Linked DNA regions of Arabidopsis thaliana. The protein of the gene in region 2 interacts with the protein of the main gene of each other region in a biochemical or structural test. Each region holds a gene or a part of one and is shown on either strand. Other genes may lie near its edges.

What was found. Proteins that work in one complex are often made in the same cells at the same time.
Region 1: the proteins of AT4G12780 (region 2) and AT1G31440 form a complex in vitro, tested with the Arabidopsis thaliana proteins (one study listed by BioGRID).

Annotation. Positions count from the first base shown.
Region 1 is NC_003070.9:11,256,405-11,260,855, reverse strand, and holds the start of AT1G31440 (SH3 domain-containing protein), read left to right. Parts: upstream 1-2,041; 5' UTR 2,042-2,376; coding exon 2,377-2,436; intron 2,437-2,770; coding exon 2,771-2,884; intron 2,885-2,969; coding exon 2,970-3,039; intron 3,040-3,112; coding exon 3,113-3,261; intron 3,262-3,363; coding exon 3,364-3,465; intron 3,466-3,546; coding exon 3,547-3,747; intron 3,748-3,820; coding exon 3,821-3,883; intron 3,884-3,967; coding exon 3,968-4,324; intron 4,325-4,411; coding exon 4,412-4,451. Other genes in the region: AT1G31450 (Eukaryotic aspartyl protease family protein), read left to right, coding at 1-984. UniProt on the Arabidopsis thaliana protein: Lipid binding protein bound strongly to phosphatidic acid, phosphatidylinositol-4-phosphate and phosphatidylinositol-4,5-bisphosphate. Binds actin in vitro. Involved in trafficking and modification of clathrin-coated vesicles.
Region 2 is NC_003075.7:7,510,182-7,514,632, forward strand, and holds the start of AT4G12780 (Chaperone DnaJ-domain superfamily protein), read left to right. Parts: upstream 1-1,825; 5' UTR 1,826-2,018; coding exon 2,019-2,644; intron 2,645-3,577; coding exon 3,578-4,451. Other genes in the region: AT4G12770 (Chaperone DnaJ-domain superfamily protein), read right to left, coding at 614-1,227. UniProt on the Arabidopsis thaliana protein: Promotes uncoating of clathrin-coated vesicles. May interact directly with clathrin.

The DNA of each region.
Region 1 (4,451 bases), on a different chromosome or scaffold from region 2:
TGTTACAAACAAAACAGTCCACTCTTCGACAAGAAGAAATCTTCCACCTACAAAACAGAATCTTGCGATTCAAAAACCTGTCAAGCCTTGTCCGAACACGAAGAAGGATGCGACGAATCTAAAGACATCTGCAAATACCGTTACTCTTATGGAGATAATTCGTTTACCAAAGGAGATGTTGCGACCGAAACAATCTCCATTGATTCTTCCTCTGGCTCCTCTGTTTCTTTCCCCGGTACTGTCTTTGGTTGCGGCTACAACAACGGTGGTACATTCGAAGAAACCGGATCCGGAATCATCGGACTCGGAGGTGGTCCATTATCGTTAGTTTCCCAGCTTGGTTCTTCCATAGGGAAGAAATTCTCGTATTGCTTGTCACACACGGCAGCTACAACAAACGGCACAAGCGTCATAAACCTAGGAACCAACTCGATACCTTCCAATCCAAGCAAAGACTCCGCTACGCTCACTACACCCTTAATCCAAAAAGACCCCGAGACTTACTATTTCTTGACACTCGAAGCAGTCACCGTCGGCAAAACCAAGCTTCCATACACCGGAGGAGGATACGGATTAAACGGGAAATCATCAAAGAGAACCGGAAACATCATAATCGATTCCGGTACAACCCTTACCCTTCTCGACTCAGGATTTTACGATGACTTTGGTACGGCCGTGGAAGAATCAGTAACCGGAGCAAAGCGTGTGAGTGATCCACAAGGGCTTTTAACACATTGTTTCAAATCCGGAGACAAAGAGATCGGTTTGCCGGCGATAACAATGCATTTCACGAACGCCGACGTGAAGCTGAGTCCGATAAACGCGTTCGTGAAACTAAATGAAGATACAGTGTGCTTGAGTATGATTCCGACAACTGAAGTTGCTATATACGGAAACATGGTTCAAATGGATTTCCTTGTTGGCTATGACTTGGAGACCAAAACGGTATCGTTTCAACGCATGGATTGCTCCGGGAACTTATGAAGCAAACGTTGCCGTTAAGAGCTAGCGTTTTTATTATCTGATATTCATAATTATTGCAATGTAATGAATATTCAGTATAAATAATATCTCTACTTACTAAATTAAATTTCTTCCTAAAATCAAATAGCCATATTTAGGTCTAGGCACGAAGCAGATATCCGGAAAAATTGTGATATTTGTTATTCGATTCGTTTTAACGAATACTTGATTTTGTGATTTGCTTTGCTTCGAAAATTTCCGGATATCCGGAATTTCGAATATCCGGAATTTTTTGTGATATTTGCGGATATCCGCTTTGATACATTTAAATATTAAAAAAAATTTGTATACTATATAACCATATCAGATATTCAAAGTTTTTATTAAACATGCTTTCAAAATAAGTTTTAAATACCAAACACAACCGTTGTTGGTATCATCGGTCAGCAAAATGTTATCAAACTAATTCCAAAAACTAAAACCTATAGTTTTTGATGCCATTGATCAAAACATAACATGAAAAAAAAATGAACAAACAAATATCTTAACATAAAAACATAAAATGGCAACAATACACAAACTATTTATGATATCTATATATAGATATAACTATATTTTTAATATATATAAAAAGATACGGATCGAAGTGGATATTCGATTTTTTAAAAAACAATATTCGTTATTTGATTCGGTTTTTACGAATACTACATTTTCCTATTTGTTTTGGTCCAAAATCTTACGGATATTTGGATTTTTCGAATCAAATCAAATCAAATACCGAATCGAAGCGGATCGAACGAATATTTTGCCCGGCCCTAACCATATCAGTTACAGTCCAAAAAAGTGACCGAAGAAATTGACTAGTATTTTAATTTATTTTGACAGCAATTGACTAATTATATAAGTCTTAAATTTATTTTATTGTTATGAAAGTTATATGATAACCTCATGTTGAAAACGATATTCGCCAAATAAACAAAGAAATGAAGATAATAATATTTTTTGACATGCGGTCCAATAAATAATTGCCATTAAAATAGACAGAATAATAAGCTTTCGTTAATTAAAGACGATTAAGGAAAAATATAAAAATGAAACATCATTAAAAATAAAAATAAAGTTAAAGAAGTACAAAATTGAAGACCACTCAAAAAGAAAGTGTTGAAACCAAAGGAGTTAGCTTCTTCAACTTTCTCCACTAATTCATTCCATTGTCGTTACCTTTTTGTTTCTCAGACTGTTACCTTACCTGTAAAGAAGAGAGTTAAAGATCTATTGCAAAAAAACTCAACCTTTAATCTCTCTGCTTCTTCTAATTAAGTAATTTCAACTACCCTTTTGGCGAAACCTCTCGATCTATTGGTTTGGTACTGAAGAAACCGACTTGAGTCTGATTTGTTTTTGGTGAAAGCCATGGAAGCTATAAGAAAGCAAGCTGCGAAGCTCAGAGAGCAAGTCGCGAGGCAACAGCAAGTGGGTTTCTTTCTGCTTGTAATAGATTTCTGTGTTCTTAGATTTATATGTCTGGTTACTGAGAAGAATTTGTTGTATGGATTTCTAATAAAGGTGGAATCTTTGAAGTGGTTGATGGTTAATTTATAGTCTTGGGGGTAGATAGGATTGTTGAGGTATGAATTGGTTATAGTTAGGTGAAAAGTATGGGACTTTTTTCTTGTTTTAGACATAGATTTTGCCTTTTTTGTTTTGATTTTAGGTTTAGATTACCTTCTAATAATATCAGACAAGATTGTGTTATTTGTGTAGGTTTCTTTATTTGTATTAAAAAAATAATCTGGTTTTTGTGCAGGCGGTTTTGAAGCATTTAGGGCATGTTAATGCTGATGCTGTTGTTGTTGATGAAGAAGAGCTTCATTGTCATCAGAAACTTCAAGATCTTTATAGCTCTACTAAAGCTGCTAAGGTAAAGATATTTTAGGTTTTTTGTTGAGGCTTTCTCGGATAATAATCTCTTTAGTTTTGGCTTATCAAAGTTGTTCTGTTCATAGCGTTTGCAAAGGAACATTGTTCGTGGACTCGAAGGTTTCATTGCGACTGGCACAAAGGTTGTTGAGATAGGTATGTTCTTGTTTCCTACTTCATCTCATATAGTGCTTCTTGGAATCACATTTGTAATGGTGTATGTCCATAGGGTTGAAGTTTGCTGAAGATTTCAAGAAATATGGAGATGAGAATCCTGATGCTAATACTCCTCTATCAAGAGTCGCACATCACTTTGGGACCTCTTACAAGTCGGTGGAAGGCGAGAGGGAAACTCTCCTCGGAGTTCTTAGTGAGCAGGTAAATTTCTTGGAACGTTTATATATTATTCTCTAATCTTTACCGGGCAGGGTCTGTCAAGAGAACTTTGTGAGTGTAGTTACAGTAATTTGATTTGTGTAGGTTTGTGAGCCAATTCGTACAATGATATATAGTGCGCCTTTGGAGGATGCTCGGCATTTGGTGAATCACTATGACAGGCTGAGACAAGAAGTCGAAGCTCAGGTAAAGTCTTGTTGAACTTCTCTTTTGTTTGTTTTGAGGCACCTTGAATTTCTTGCGGCATTTAAAGCTTTCGATTAACAGGCAACTGATGTACTGAGGAGAAGATCAAAGTTGAAGGAATCTGATATTTCTGAAGAAGCCTACATAAAACTTAAGAATTCTGAATCGAGATTGGCTGAGCTCAAATCAAGTATGAAAACTCTTGGTAAAGAAGCTACTAAGGCCATGTTGGAAGTCGACGATCAGCAGCAGAACGTAACTTCTCAGCGCCTCCGTGCTCTGGTAAATCTCCTTTCAAAGCTCATGATTGTTTACATGTCCCTGGATTGGATATGAAATGAAATTACCAACGCAGGTTGAAGCTGAAAGATCATATCATCGTAATGCTCTTGATATCCTCGACAAGCTACATTCCGAGGTCAGTAACTTTCTCTATTTATATACTTCAGATAATGACTACATACACTTAGTTACGTGAGCTGGTTGCCTTCTTCTTATTCAGATGATTGCTGAGGAAGAAGCTATAGGATCATCACCAAAGTCACTACCTTTACATATAGAGGATAGTGCTTCTCTTCCCCAACAAGAACCGAATTCAAATTCCTCAGGAGAGATCAAATCAAATCCCTTGGGAAAGATCAAAGCAAGTCGTCGAGAAGAAATCAAGTCTAATCCCCAAGAAGTAACCAAACCTAGTCCCAAGGACGAAATGAAGTCCAGTCCACAAGAAGAAACCAAATCCAATCATCAGAAAGAAATTAAGTCTAGTCCACAGGAAGAGATCAAGAAGTCCAATGGGTCTGATGATCATCACAATCATCAACTTCTCAGCCAGAATGATTCCTACTTTCTTGCAAAGGTAATACCTTTCAAAATACTTAACTTGGTTAGAGTGTGATTATACAAATCCTGAGGAACAAGAGTTAATGTTTTCTTGTTTCAACAGGTTGTGCACCCGTTTGATGCTCAAGCCCCAGGGGAACTCA
Region 2 (4,451 bases):
CAAGCCCTCAGATTTGAAAACCAATGACAAGATATAAAGAACAATGACCCATTTGTAGTCATATGAAATGAAATTTTGCATATGAATGACCCTAACAGCAGATTAAAGGTTGAAGATTTCTCTTGTAAGTTCTACAAAGTACACATAAGAGAACCTTGTATGCTAGCAAAAAGCTCTTCAGTAAGACCTAATATAGTTCATGCTACATGTCATCATGTAATTGTTATGGCTCTAAGTTCTAGACCCTTGAGTAAACTCTCAAGTCAGTTTTAAGGAGAAACAAATTTGAAGAGCAATGTCATTCAAAATTGGATATGAATGACAAGCAAAAGGTTGAAGCTTTTGAGAGCAATATAAAAAAAACTTGTAGACTTGTAGTATCCAAGTAAACAGCTATCCATAAGCATTATACAGTTCAAGCAAACCAAAATCTAAGCTTCATACCCTTAACTAAAATCACGCTAGCAAGCTTTCAAATTTGAAGAGAACAGCTTCCATAAGCACCAAATGCTACTACATTTCATGCTCTAAGCTCTATACCGTTTATTCATTTCATGCAAGAAAGCTCCCTAGCTAGTAACCATAAACAGAAGAAGAGTGAATGAATTCTTACCGTTTAGCTGGAGGAGAGCTAGTGCGACCAAACCCGGGAATTAAATCATCAAAAATGGAACTACCCTTCTCCTCTCGGTCACTCTCTTTCTTCCCCAAATTGTTTCCCATGAGATCATCGAAAGGAGAACTGTTCTGTTTCCTGTGCTTCGTAGGAGAAGATGAGATAGAAGAGAAAACATTCTCAAACCTAGCTGACTGAGAAGAAGTGGAAGGGATTTTGAGCTCAGGAATAGACTCAAACACATCCTCATCATCATACACAGGCTTATCATAAACCGGCATAGACGACGCTGATTTGGATTTGGGTTCCTTGAACATAACATCATAGTCAAAAGCAGGAGCAGATGGAGAACGAGAATCACCAGAAGATCCATACTTTGGTGGTGGTCCGCTAAACACATCTCTGAAGAGAAGATCATCACCATCTCGACCAAGATCGTCAAACACCGGCAAAGAATCCGACTTTTTACCAGCGGCAGAGGCGAAGCTATAAGAAGAAGCGAAAGTGTTGAAATCAGCGGCAGAAGAGTTTGATTGAGAAGCCATGGGCGCAGATTTGCCTTGAGGTTTCAATCCGAAGTCTCTCGCTAACAATCCTGTGAAATCATCCATTGGATTCCTTTAAATTCTCTAGCTCCGAATTCGAAAAGCTTTAGATTTTGCCCACTAGAAATGAAGAAGAGGTTATCTTCAGATCTGAGTCGCCATTAACGAATCGGATCAAAGCATTTGATTTTTTAAAAAGCTCTTTTTTCTTCGTTTTCCGACTTGTTTATGGTTTCTTCTCCGACTCGTACATGTTTCCCAGTCTTCATAATTTCTTCATTATTGCTAAATGGGTCCTAAAGTTTCAGAAATAACAAATTTGGTCTCCAAAATCTTAAAAAAATAAAAAAAGTAATTCCTTAGAGTTGATCCTCAATATATATAAACTTATAATTATATTAATTACCAAAATACAATTATATGTTTAACATTTTCTATAGCAATGAAACTCTTAGAATTATCAAAATATGTAGAAAATATTTGTCAATGTACAATTTTGTTTTTTTTGTGAATAAATTTTGGTATTTTACATTGGTTCAAAACCAAAATGAATAAATCCAAAACTCTAGCCAAAGTATCACCGAATTTATAAGACTTGGGGGACCCAAATTGAAAACTCTGAAACTTTAGGACCCATTTAGCAAAAACGAAGAAATTATGAAGACACCCAGTCGGAGAAGAAACCAGAGACAAGTTGGGAAAACGAAGAAAGAAAAAAAGAGAGCTTTTTTAAAAATCAAATGCTTTGATCCGATTCGTTAATGGCGACTCAGATCTGAAGATAATCTCTTCTTCATTTCTGGTGGGCAAAATCTAAAGCTTTTCGAATTCGGAGCTAGAGAATTTAAAGGAATCCAATGGATGATTTCACAGGATTGTTAGCGAGAGACTTCGGATTGAAACCTCAGGGAAAATCAGCTCCCATGGCGTCTCAATCGAACTCTTCTGCCGCTGATTTCAACACTTTCGCTTCTTCTTATAGCTTCGCCACCGCCGCCGGTAAAAAGTCCGATTCTTTGCCGGTGTTTGACGATCCTGGTCGAGATGGTGATGATCTTCTCTTCAAAGATGTGTTTAGTGGACCACCACCACCAAAGTACGGATCTTCTTCTGGTGATTCACGTTCTCCATCTGCTCCTGCTTTTGACTATGATGCTATGTTCAAGGAACCCAAATCCAAATCAGCGTCGTCTATGCCGGTTTATGACAAGCCTGTGTATGATGATGAGGATGTGTTTGAGTCTATTCCTGAGCTCAAAATCCCTTCCACTTCTTCTCAGTCAGCTAGGTTTGAGAATGTTTTCTCTTCTATCTCATCTTCTCCTACGAAGCACAGGAAACAGAACAGTTCTCCTTTCGATGATCTCATGGGAAACAATTTGGGGAAGAAAGGGGCAGATAGTGACCGAGAGGAGAAGGGTAGTTCCATTTTTGATGATTTGATTCCTGGGTTTGGTCGCACTAGCTCTCCTCCATCTAAGCGGTAATATTCATTCACTAGTTGCTTTTTCTTTATCTGTGGTTACTAGTTAGGGTCACTCACTGCCATTTAAATTTGAGAGCTTGCTTGCGTGAAATGACTCTTTGAATTGTAGAGCTTAGAGTATGAAATGTAGCATTTAGTACTTATGGAGAACTGTTTCCTTGTATGTAGAGCTGTTTGATTCCCTGGTTTCGATATGTTATTTACTATGTACCTTCATCTGTGGTTACTGGTTAGGGTCATTGCTCTTCAAATTTTAGAGCTTGCTTGCGTGGCATGAGTCATGGCTCTTCAAACGTACATAATGATGAAGTTGATATTAGTGATTATGGAGCTTGGTTGGTCACAGAGCTTGGATATTGGTTCTTTTATGAATACTCTCTAAAACTTGAGTGAGAAATCTGGAAAAAAAAACTTTAGAAACTTCAAGATTCATGTCATTCATATGCACAATCTCATTTTTGATCTGTGGCTACGGTCATTGCCTTAATAATTAGTTTCTCCTAGACCTGTGGTTACTAGTTAGGGTTGCTCCTGTCACCTTCTCTCTTTAAATTTGAGAGCTTGCTTGTGTGAAATGACTCAAAGGGTATAGAGCTTAGAGACATCATGCTTTCATAATTGTAGTGCCTTTATCTCTGGCTTTGTAGCATGCACTCTATTCAGTGTCTTTATATCCTGACATTGCTCTTCAAATTTGTTTCCCCAGACCTGTCTTAAGAGCTTGCTCAAGGGTATAAAGCTTAGAGCCATCACGCCTTACATAATCATAATGCAATGTAGCATGAACTATATTTATTAGTGCTTCAATTTGCTTGCATACTATACAGATTTCTCTTATGCGTAGTTTTCTAACTTAATTTCATTTTGATTTTTGTTGGTATAGGCATAACTTGTTTACCAATTGATTGATACTCTACTCTTTTTGTGCAGGACAACTTCAGAGACAACAAATCAATCCGAGAAAGCTCCATATCGAACTGCCGAGACATCTTCCAATGTGGAAGAAGACCCGTTTGTAGTCTTGGAGGAGTCTGAATCAACCCCTAGAGAACCCTCCCGTACTGATCCATTGGACGATATTGGTAAATTCAACAGCAGAAAAACTGATCATTCATCTGTCCACGGAGGAGTATTTGTTGATATTGACCCTCTTGATAATCTAGGAAAACCAGGGCCGGATATGAATAGTAAAGGGAAGAGTCATTTAAGACCACCAGGAAACATCAGTGGCTCCCAGTCACCACCAGTAGAAAGCCCTGGGAGTTACCATTCTAAGAAAGTTTCATTTGAAGATTTTTTAGAGCCACATAATATGAGTACTCCACCACCTACCAATTCAAATGGAAGTTTCGAGTCGTCTGATGATGTGTGGCTTACTGTATCCGAGATCCCCCTCTTTACGCAACCTACGAGTGCTCCGCCACCTACGAGACCTCCACCACCAAGACCTACACGTCCTATTAAAAAGAAGGTTAATGAGCCTTCTATACCGACGTCTGCTTACCACTCACACGTTCCTAGCTCAGGAAGAGCTTCTGTAAATAGCCCGACAGCATCTCAAATGGATGAACTCGACGATTTTTCTATTGGCAGAAATCAGACCGCTGCGAATGGATATCCTGATCCTTCCTCTGGTGAAGATTCAGATGTTTTTTCTACTGCCGCTGCATCAGCTGCTGCCATGAAGGATGCCATGGATAAAGCAGAAGCAAAGTTTAGGCATGCTAAGGAAAGGAGAGAGAAAGAAAATTTGAAAGCAAGTAGAAGTAGAGAAGGAGATCACACAGAAAATTATGATTCTCGT